Linked DNA regions of Drosophila melanogaster. The protein of the gene in region 2 interacts with the protein of the main gene of each other region in a pairwise test. Each region holds a gene or a part of one and is shown on either strand. Other genes may lie near its edges.

Region 1 (4,588 bases), on a different chromosome or scaffold from region 2:
CTAAAAACAACGCATTGTGGGCCATTTAAAGTGTTGGAATTAAATATAAATAAAAGATAATATTATTGCTAACACGAAAATGGAAAACTAAAATTATATAACTGAATAATTTCACCTATAAAAAAAATAACAAATAATAGAAATATATAATAATATTAATCATACGCACCGTAAGAACATTTCTCGAAAGCTATGTAACTAACTCGATCATTTTGTAGTTATTTAAGCTTACTTTAAATTATTTTCCCGCTTTGTTTTCTTAATATTTAGTTGATATTTTTGAATTTACGATATGGCTGCCGCATAAACATGACAGCCGCAGACATTAGTTACCTATTCCACTGCACCATCACAAGTTCAAACACCGCAAAGTTGTGCAGGCATTCCCCCCAAGCCACCGCCCCCTTCCCCTACCTTCCTCCCCCCCCACTTCTTTGCTGCGCCAACTGCACTCTGGCAGGTTCCTTCGCCCCACTTTCTCCGCTTTCACCGCACTCCCCTCGCCTTCTACGCCGCTTAGCTCCTTCGTTGTTCGCGTTGTCATAATCGCATTTGAATTAGCTGTGCACACGAGGCGCAGCTGAGGATTCTGAACAGGGTGCATAAATGAATAATAGTAAAATTAATAATTGATAAGACAAATAAAATAAACGAAGATATGAATTTATAATGTACAAATACGATTCACAGATTTACTTTATTCCACCTATATATACAAATATTTATATCATTTCATTCGTCACAATAGAGAACATTCATTAAAATATATTTGAAGCTAAATTTATATTTTTATATATATTTATACTAGAATGGAAATTATATTTTTATGTGATAGGAATAAAAAAGTAATATTTAACATACTATCGAAGTAGACAAAGTAAAAATATAACTTAATATACTTTTATTTATTTCTTTGAATTCAACGATTCAAAATTAGTTAGTTATTCTAGGGAAATCTCTGACTAAAATAGTATCTGCTGCACCCTGTTGGAAAGCCCATTCCATCCGCTTGGCACCGTCTGCGAGCCTAATGTGCCACTTAAGACGCATTTATTGTCTTTCGTTGCTGCTGCCGGCGTTCTTGCCGCGCGGCGGCTGTTGGTGGTGCCGCATTTTCCATTTAATTGACGCCATTGTTGACAAAATGGCGGTCGTGTGTTGGCTTTCGCTGCACCGCTTTCCAAGCCCAACTTGCACCAGCCACAAGCCATTAATGTTAACGCATTTTTCGCCTAGATTCTGGGGTAGGATGTTGGCATGGATGCACTCGTGTTTCTGGTTTACCAAAGGCGACATCCTCCAGTCGGTGGAGTTAAAGGGGGCGTGGCGACGACAAGGGCGCAAATCACTTGCAATTAGTGTTAAAAATTCAACGGAGTAACTAGATTGTTCATGTGAGCAGATATACTCGAAAGTTGACAGTGATTCCAGTTGATCTTACTGAAAAGCACTATCAGTGGTAATCATTGAATTAACTTGATTTATTCAAGTCGTAACATCAGTTTAAAAAAAAACCCTTTTCAATACTCCACATCCAGAGCATATGCATCCAGCACACTTTCACCCCTTGGACAATCCGAATAGCGAGCTAGGCAATCGATTCCAGCCTGGCCAGCTGCTAAAGCCTCCTTGTAGGCCACATCCAAGCGCGTTTTACCAGGTCTATTAAGTTTATATAGATTTATAATTCTTCCATTCAAGTAATAGCATTCTAAAACTGCAACTTACGTGAGTAGAACGACTAGTAGCTCCGCCATGATGCCCACATGGTGATGCACCTGCGCATTTTCACAGATCCCTCGCAGCAAACAGTGACGACCTCGACCAGGAGATCCACTCACTTGGTCCATATAGTTCTCCAAGGCGGCATATACGAACAGGCGAGTGTCGTCCTCGTGCGTCTCATCCAAGCTCCTGATCTTCTCCTGCAACGAACGCGCATATATCGTCTCCCATTTGTCCCAGGGATATAGTGGTGCCGATGGCAGGGTAAATGCCCCGAAATGCAGCACATAGTAGTAGACCAAACTGCGCCAGACCACGGGATCCTCGAGCTGAGTGGACAGCACGGGACCCACTACCAAACGGATGGTTCCTCCATTCCGGTAGATCAACTGATGCCTCTTCTGGCGCGCATGCATATACTCCGTAATATTTTGGCCAACTGGAGCAGCTACTAACATATACGCACTCCTAACCACAGGTAATGAACAGGCCAATAAATATATCCAAGAAACCAGTTGCATTGTGTGGAAAAACGTCTGTAGGTGGCACAATAACTTTCGAGAATGAAACTCACTGGAATCGATACCCATTTGTGATGCTGAAAATTAAAGCATTATGGACTCAAGCAATTAGCATCCAAATTGGGTTATAAAGACATCCAGATCTGCTTTACATTTTCGTTCTGCATAATTAATTGGGTAAATAATTACAGATACATTTCTACATATCTTAAAAACACAATTCAAAAATTCTTTCTTAATTTGAACTTCTATTAACATAAGGAATTTATTGTCATGTGTATTTATTTAATATTATGTCGTCATAGCACATTGATTTATAGTTTAGTATTTATATTTTACATATACAAAACAAGAATAAAATGTATATTCCCGCAAAATTTAAAATATCGCTTAAGAAATCCCTGCAATGTTTTCTATGTTCTTACCGCCATTTCTGGTATTTCAGTGAATGTACGCAACTGGTCACTCTAGTATTATTAACTAACAAAATAAACAATAACATAACCAAGGATATAAAGGAAACTGTAGAGCAGCGATGAACGCCGTGATAGCGCTGTGCCACTTTTGCGAGGCGCACGGTCCCTGCGCCATCTTCTGCACCCAGACACTGAGGGACACCAAGCTGGAGGACCTGTCACTGGAACAGCAGACGCAAAAGACCTGCTCCGCCTGCAATTACTCCATGGGCAAGAATAACAATGCGATCTACAGCAGGGACACGGAAAGCGGGGCCACATTCGTCAGCACCAAGGTGGCGGTGCTGCCGGAGGTGGCCAGTCTGGTCAAGCAGGCGGCGGTGCTCAGTCTGAGCAATGGTACGGATGCCAGCAAGGATGGCGAGTTCGTGTTCTTTGGCGATTCGTCCAGGGGTCACATCCTGAGTCACACCTTCCGAGTGAGCGACCTGCAGGCCCGCGGCTACTCGCAGCTGTTCTCCATCATTGTGCTGATGAAGGACAAGTATTTCCTGCTTAACATCAAGCCCTTTCTGGCGGAGCACCTGAAGAAGGTGTCGTCGGAGCTGCAGGCAGCTGCCAAAAAGACCAAGGAGACGGAGGAGCAGACGTACTCAGAGCGACAGAGGCGTCTGTCCGGCGCTCAGTTCCTGATGCCCACTTCCCGTGCCTTGCTGGAGCTAACAGGCGAGGAGCACATCTTCGCCCAGTTGCACTCACACTTCTCGTGGCTCCTGCTAGCCGGATCCCGCTTCCTCACCGAGCACGTGACCTTCGGCAACCTACCGTGGCTACCGCCACAAAGTAGTGGCCGTCCTCCCGCACAGCGACTCACCTACAACAGTTCCACACTGCCAATGATAGAGAGCATCGACGATCCCGATCTGGAGGAGTTCTTCTCGTTGCGCCATCTCAAGAGTGTCGTCCGCAAGGAGGAGTTTGCCACGGTCTGCTATTGTGCCTTGACTGGGGTGAAGATTGTGGTCAGAGGTGATCCCAGAAAGACCTTCCGTTTCATGGTCTGCCTGAAGAAACTCCTGCCCGAGCCCATGCACAATCTAATGCGAATCGATGCCCAACATCAACACTCCATCAGCTCCGAGTACAAAATCATATCCGTGTCCAATGACATAGCCGTGCCAATGGCCAGTAGCTCCGTTTATCGGATCGATTTTCTGGACAAACACGTCAACGGACACGAGGTGTCGGTCAAATGGCCAGGAGAGCTGCCACGAAAATGTAAGCTTCACATCCAATCCGTTCCCGCTTTCACTGATAAAAACGAGTCGGGGATATTGATATTGATTCTATTGATTCTCCCACTTTAGTGCCAGATCTTATGGTGAAACTTTTAAAGGCGGTGGAGGAGAAAAACTTCACAGAACTCGTGCTGAACAAGCAGACCAAGGTGCTCATCGAAGAGTGGAAAAAGTGAGTAGCCGTCCTATTTTGCTGCACAGATCCGAACTCAATTGAATTCCATCTACAGCAAAGTGACCTGCCTCAACCATGCCAAATCCACCAGCGTGCAGGGCAAACTTAAGAAGGTGCTTGGCGTGCAGCCGCACGATCAGCCGATTATTAACTACTGGAGCACACACCTTCACTAGTACAACCGATTACCGCACAGATTAAGGACTTTCTTTTTCACCTTTTGGAATAAAACTCTTTTATTGCCGTGCGATGGCGAGAAAAATCATTATCTTAACCAAAAGGATGCCGAATCCAGTCCAGTCAGCCAGTCGCTTACTTCTTGTAGCCGCAGCTGGAGCGACGACCACGAGCACGCTCGAACTTGCGTCCCTTAGAGCGGACATAGGGGCGGGTGTGCGAGTGGGGCACACCGGGAGCCTTGCCGAAGTGCTTGCAGGCGGTGCGGGCGGTACG
Region 2 (4,588 bases):
ATGGAGCATTAGCAACTTTACTTTAACCAGCGACCGGATCTACATCACCGGCGCAGAGAACGAACGCTTAAGCTTGCGCGTCTACGACATCGCAACTGGCCAGCCGGCGAGCAGCGGCGTGCCCGAGGGCTGGCTGAAGATGGTGCTAGACGGATTGGGTGCCAACGAGGAGGGCGCACCGCCATTCATTCCCGAGGACTTGTCCGTTTGGTTTAAGAAGCGCTTCGACAACGTTAGCGACTATTTGGAGCGCAAGAAGCGGCGCATCGAGGAGCAGCAGCAGCAGAAGTGCGGCTAATCCCCGGGCGCCCACATACCCAAAGGAAATTAAATGAACCTAATCTTTACATAGCATTTAATTAGCATATGGAGAAGAAGCAACGGACTTTGTGTGACAGGCCCGTTGTGGGCATAATATATATATATCTGTATATGTGTGTAAATGGTGTATGGTTATCTCTATGGGGGGCGGTGGCGAGCACTGGCTCCTAGACGGGCTTGTAGTCCAGCTTGCTCTCCAACTTCTTGTTGTCCGACACCTTGCGCACCGCCTTCATGAAGTCCTCCTGGATGACGTACTCCCGCTCCGCACTGGATTTGCAAGAATAGTTACATTTTAGGGAGCTTATCAAGCGGTGGAAACTTCGCACTTACCGAATGGCAAAGAGACCCGCCTCCGTGCAGACATTACGCAGATCAGCGCCATTAAAGTTGTCCGACAGCTTGACAATGGCCTCGTAGTCGATTTCGCCGTGCTTGGCGATCTTCAGTGCGTGAATCTTGAGAATTTCCAACCTAAAAGGAGTTGGGGTTTTACCATCAGTATGACAAAGTATGTAAGTATCTAATCTGAGAAATCCCTATTCATATTTCACCAAGAAGACATCAAAGATAAGAGCCAATCAATGTGGGAATATAGCTTACCTAGCCTGCTCGTTGGGCAGCGGAATCTCGATCTTCCTGTCCAAGCGACCCGGACGCAGAAGGGCAGGATCGAGGGTGTCCGGACGATTGGTTGCCATGATCATCTTGACTTGGCCAAGCGAATCGAAGCCGTCCATCTGGTTGAGCAGCTCCATCAGGGTGCGCTGGATCTCGCGATCGGCAGAGGTGCCCTCGGAGAAGCGCCGACCACCGATAGCGTCGATTTCGTCCATGAAAATGATGCAGGGCTGATGGTCGCGGGCATAGTTGAACATCTCGCGAATGAGACGCGCACTCTCGCCAATATACTTGTCGACAATCGCCGAGGACACGACCTTGAGGAAGTTGGCGTCCAGCTGGGAGGCCACTGCACGGGCCAGCAGGGTCTTGCCGGTGCCAGGAGGTCCGTACAGCAAACAACCCTTCGGTGGCGTGATGCCGACGCGCAGGAAGAGCTCCGGATTCAGTAGGGGCAGCTCGATCACTTCGCGCAGCTCGCGAATTTGGTCGGTTAGGCCGCCGATGGCCGAGTAGGTGACATCCCCGGGATCCTCGTGCGACATATTGTACACCAGTGGGTCCACCTCGCGCGGCAAGTAGCGCATAATGGTCAGTGTGGTCATGTCGAGGGCCACACGAGTTCCGGACTTCAGCTTGGCTTTGTCCAGCTGCCGGCGGCAGCCGACCACGTAGCGGGGTCCATTGGTGGCCTTCACAATGACTGTGTGGCAAGTAAGTAGTTAGAATAGAGGCAATCTTAGACAGAATATGGGAGAGTTCTCACATTTATCCTCGGTCAGCTGCTTCAGCACCTCACCAACGATCTGTCCCACGCTCTGCAGGGCCTTTAGATCGTTCTCCGACTTGTCGTACAGCTTGGTCAGATCCTTGATCTCCTCGCGCTCTGAAAATAGCCAGGTTAATACGCATTTGCTGGCGGAGATCAGCGGATAGACGAACTTTCTTTGAGGCGTCCCTCGATTTCCTTGTGCTCTAGCAACTTCTTTCGGTACTCGGATAAGGCTTTCACCCGCAGATTGTCCGGCATCGGTGTGGCGGTCACGGTCATCTTGTTCGAGGATTTACGCTGTACTTTCGGCTGTGCAACGCTTAAAATAAATTAAATTCAGAAAAGTAGTGAGTTGCAACTTTTGTCGCAATGCAGTGTGCCCGTAACGTGGCACGCAATAAATGTACACTTACTTCGGTATATTTCATTTGGCATATACCAAATGCGGTGCGTGCACTGGCTAAGTGCAGCGTGTGACTGGCCACACCGCCAGCCGGCATAATTCTTATTGGAATTATTGTGTTAAGCGAGAATAATTTTAATCTAAATTTAAATTTAACTAATGTATAATTTACGCCTGCTACGAAATCTCCTGCCGATCGCCGGGCACGCCCATCCGCGCTGGCTGGCTAGCCAGCACAAGCGGCGCCCGCAGCCGGGCAGCCTGCCGGCCGATCGGCTGGACCAGCTGCGCAGTGATCTCTTCGAGCGTCGCCATGAGCTGAGTGGCGCGGAGTGGACGGAGGTGCGGAGGTCGCTCGTGGACGGGTACAAGCACATCAACGGGCACAACGTGGACGCCGTCATTCTGGGCGTGTGCAGTGCACCCAACCAATTGTCGTTGGCCAAAAGCTATGTGGAGTTCCTGAGGAGCAGGGGCTCCAAACCGAATGCAGCGACACTGGGTCGCCTGCTGAGGGTCTACAATGCCGCCTACCACGAGCGACCGCTTAGCGAGGCGGAACAGTCGGAGATACTGCAGATCTGCCGATCATTGCAGGCGGAGCACGAAACTCTGGACGCCAGCAGCTGCGAGAATGTGATTCATGGACTGGTGGCCACCAGCGGCGATGATTGGCAGCGCGGACTGCCGCTGCTCGAGATGATGAAGGTCACCAGTACGCCCAGTGTGGCCGCCTACTCCGCGCTGGCGGAGAAGGCCTTCAGTGTGGCGACACCGGAGCAGGAATTGGCCTGGCGCCTACTGGAAGAGATGGCCACGGCACGGAAGCCGCCCAAATGCGAGGTCTATCTGGCGCTGCTCAATCGACTGGCCAACGAAACGGCACAACTTCCTGCACAGCTTAGCCTTTTGTTGCAATTCCTCGAACGCCATGAGATTCTAGTCAGCCAGCGGGTGGCGATACGATTGCAGGAGCTGTCCAGCCAGGTGCCCCAACTGTTGCACACCAGGACCACCCATTTGGGAGGTCTGGGCAAGTGCCAGTCCTGCCAGCAGCACCTCCAGCCGGTGGCCATCAGCGATGAGGAGTTCCGGCAGCTAAGCGAATGTTTTCTGGAGCGCGTGCTCATACGACGAGACGTCTTCCAGCGCTCCACGCCCGAGGAGGTGGCCAGGTTCAAGAAGTTTGTCGAAAAGACGGCGCCATACGACTGTGTGATCGATGGCCTCAATGTGGCCTACTCTACGGGCACCAAAAAGACGCCGCAGCAGCTGGCCAAGCTAGTGGCTACGGTGGTGCGTCATTTCCGGGAACAGGACAAGCGTGTCCTCGTCCTGGGACGCGAGCACATGCGCAACTGGTCCAAGCAGGCCATGCACTATGTGCACTGCAATGCCAGCCTCTTCTTGACCAGCAATCTGTAAGGGAATTCATCTCGAATTGGAAAGGGATAGGTAGACTAATTCGTTCGTTCGTTTGCTTATAGGTCGCACGATGATCCCTTCCTGCTGTATGCCACGCTGCGCAGCGGCCAGGAGACAGACTTCTTCTCCCGCGACCTGATGCGCAGTCACGCCTTTCATCTGGGCACCGAGCTGAAGCCCATCTTTCGTCGCTGGCAGCAGGAGCACCAGTTCTCCCTGGTCACCCAAACGCAAACGGGTCAGATTATAGTCAAGGAGCCCGTTCGTCATCGGCTGTGTGCCCACCAAGTGGCGGACACCTGGCATGTGCCCTACTGCGCGCAGTACACGCCGCATCCCACAGACAGCTTCGAGGTGCCCGCCAACTGGCTGTGCATCCAGATGAAGGAGCAGACGATACCCGCCACCAAAACCAAGACCAAAACAACGAGGTGACCATGTGAGCAAGACTTCTTATGCGAATAAATAGTAGCCAAATGTTAACACGAATACACTGAAGGAGCCGTCCTAGTCGCAGTCATAGCGGGTGCACTTCTCAAAGGCTCCAAGACCCTGCGGCTGGGGCTTCTTGCGACGGCGCTCGTACAGCAGCTTCTTCTCGGCGGCGCACATGAGCCGACGCTTGATGTGATTGTCCATCTCGAAGTCCAAGTCGGCCGGCTTGGCCAGCTCGTTGGGATCCCTTGTGGCTGCCGAGTCCAGCGCCTTAATGATCAAACTGAGCAGCGCGTGCGCGAGGCGATGGCACACATCGTACTCGATGGCATCCTGGCTGGTGTAGTAGATGGCCGACTGTGAGGTGGGCTGCACACCAATGGCCAACAGGATGTTGCAGAAGATGCCGCGCTGCATGCGCGCATACGGATCCACCAGCTGCGGCGGAATGCGCATCGTTGTGGCCAGATGGGAAATGAATTTGGCGAACTTCTTGATGAGCACGTTCAGGTACTGGGTGCGGCACTGGCGCTCCAGCTTGGTCAGCATGTTGTAGTACAGTTCCTGCTTGCGCTTCAGGAAATCCTCCTTCTTTCGCTCCTTGGTCTTGT

Evidence for each region.
Region 1: the proteins of Rpt4 (region 2) and BHD interact in a two-hybrid assay, tested with the Drosophila melanogaster proteins (one study listed by BioGRID).

The regions. Positions count from the first base shown.
Region 1 is NT_037436.4:7,235,854-7,240,441, forward strand, and holds BHD (Birt-Hogg-Dube), read left to right. Parts: upstream 1-2,688; 5' UTR 2,689-2,781; coding exon 2,782-3,940; intron 3,941-4,029; coding exon 4,030-4,132; intron 4,133-4,190; coding exon 4,191-4,311; 3' UTR 4,312-4,392; downstream 4,393-4,588. Other genes in the region: CG14829 (uncharacterized protein), read right to left, coding at 1,521-1,662, 1,729-2,246; RpL18 (ribosomal protein L18), read right to left, coding at 4,448-4,588.
Region 2 is NC_004354.4:6,289,131-6,293,718, forward strand, and holds Rpt4 (regulatory particle triple-A ATPase 4), read right to left. Parts: upstream 2,116-4,588; 5' UTR 1,994-2,115; coding exon 1,885-1,993; intron 1,829-1,884; coding exon 1,709-1,828; intron 1,646-1,708; coding exon 925-1,645; intron 796-924; coding exon 655-795; intron 592-654; coding exon 489-591; 3' UTR 340-488; downstream 1-339. Other genes in the region: wuho, read left to right, coding at 1-298; mldr (mulder), read left to right, coding at 2,277-3,538, 3,605-3,977; CG15892 (uncharacterized protein), read right to left, coding at 4,050-4,588.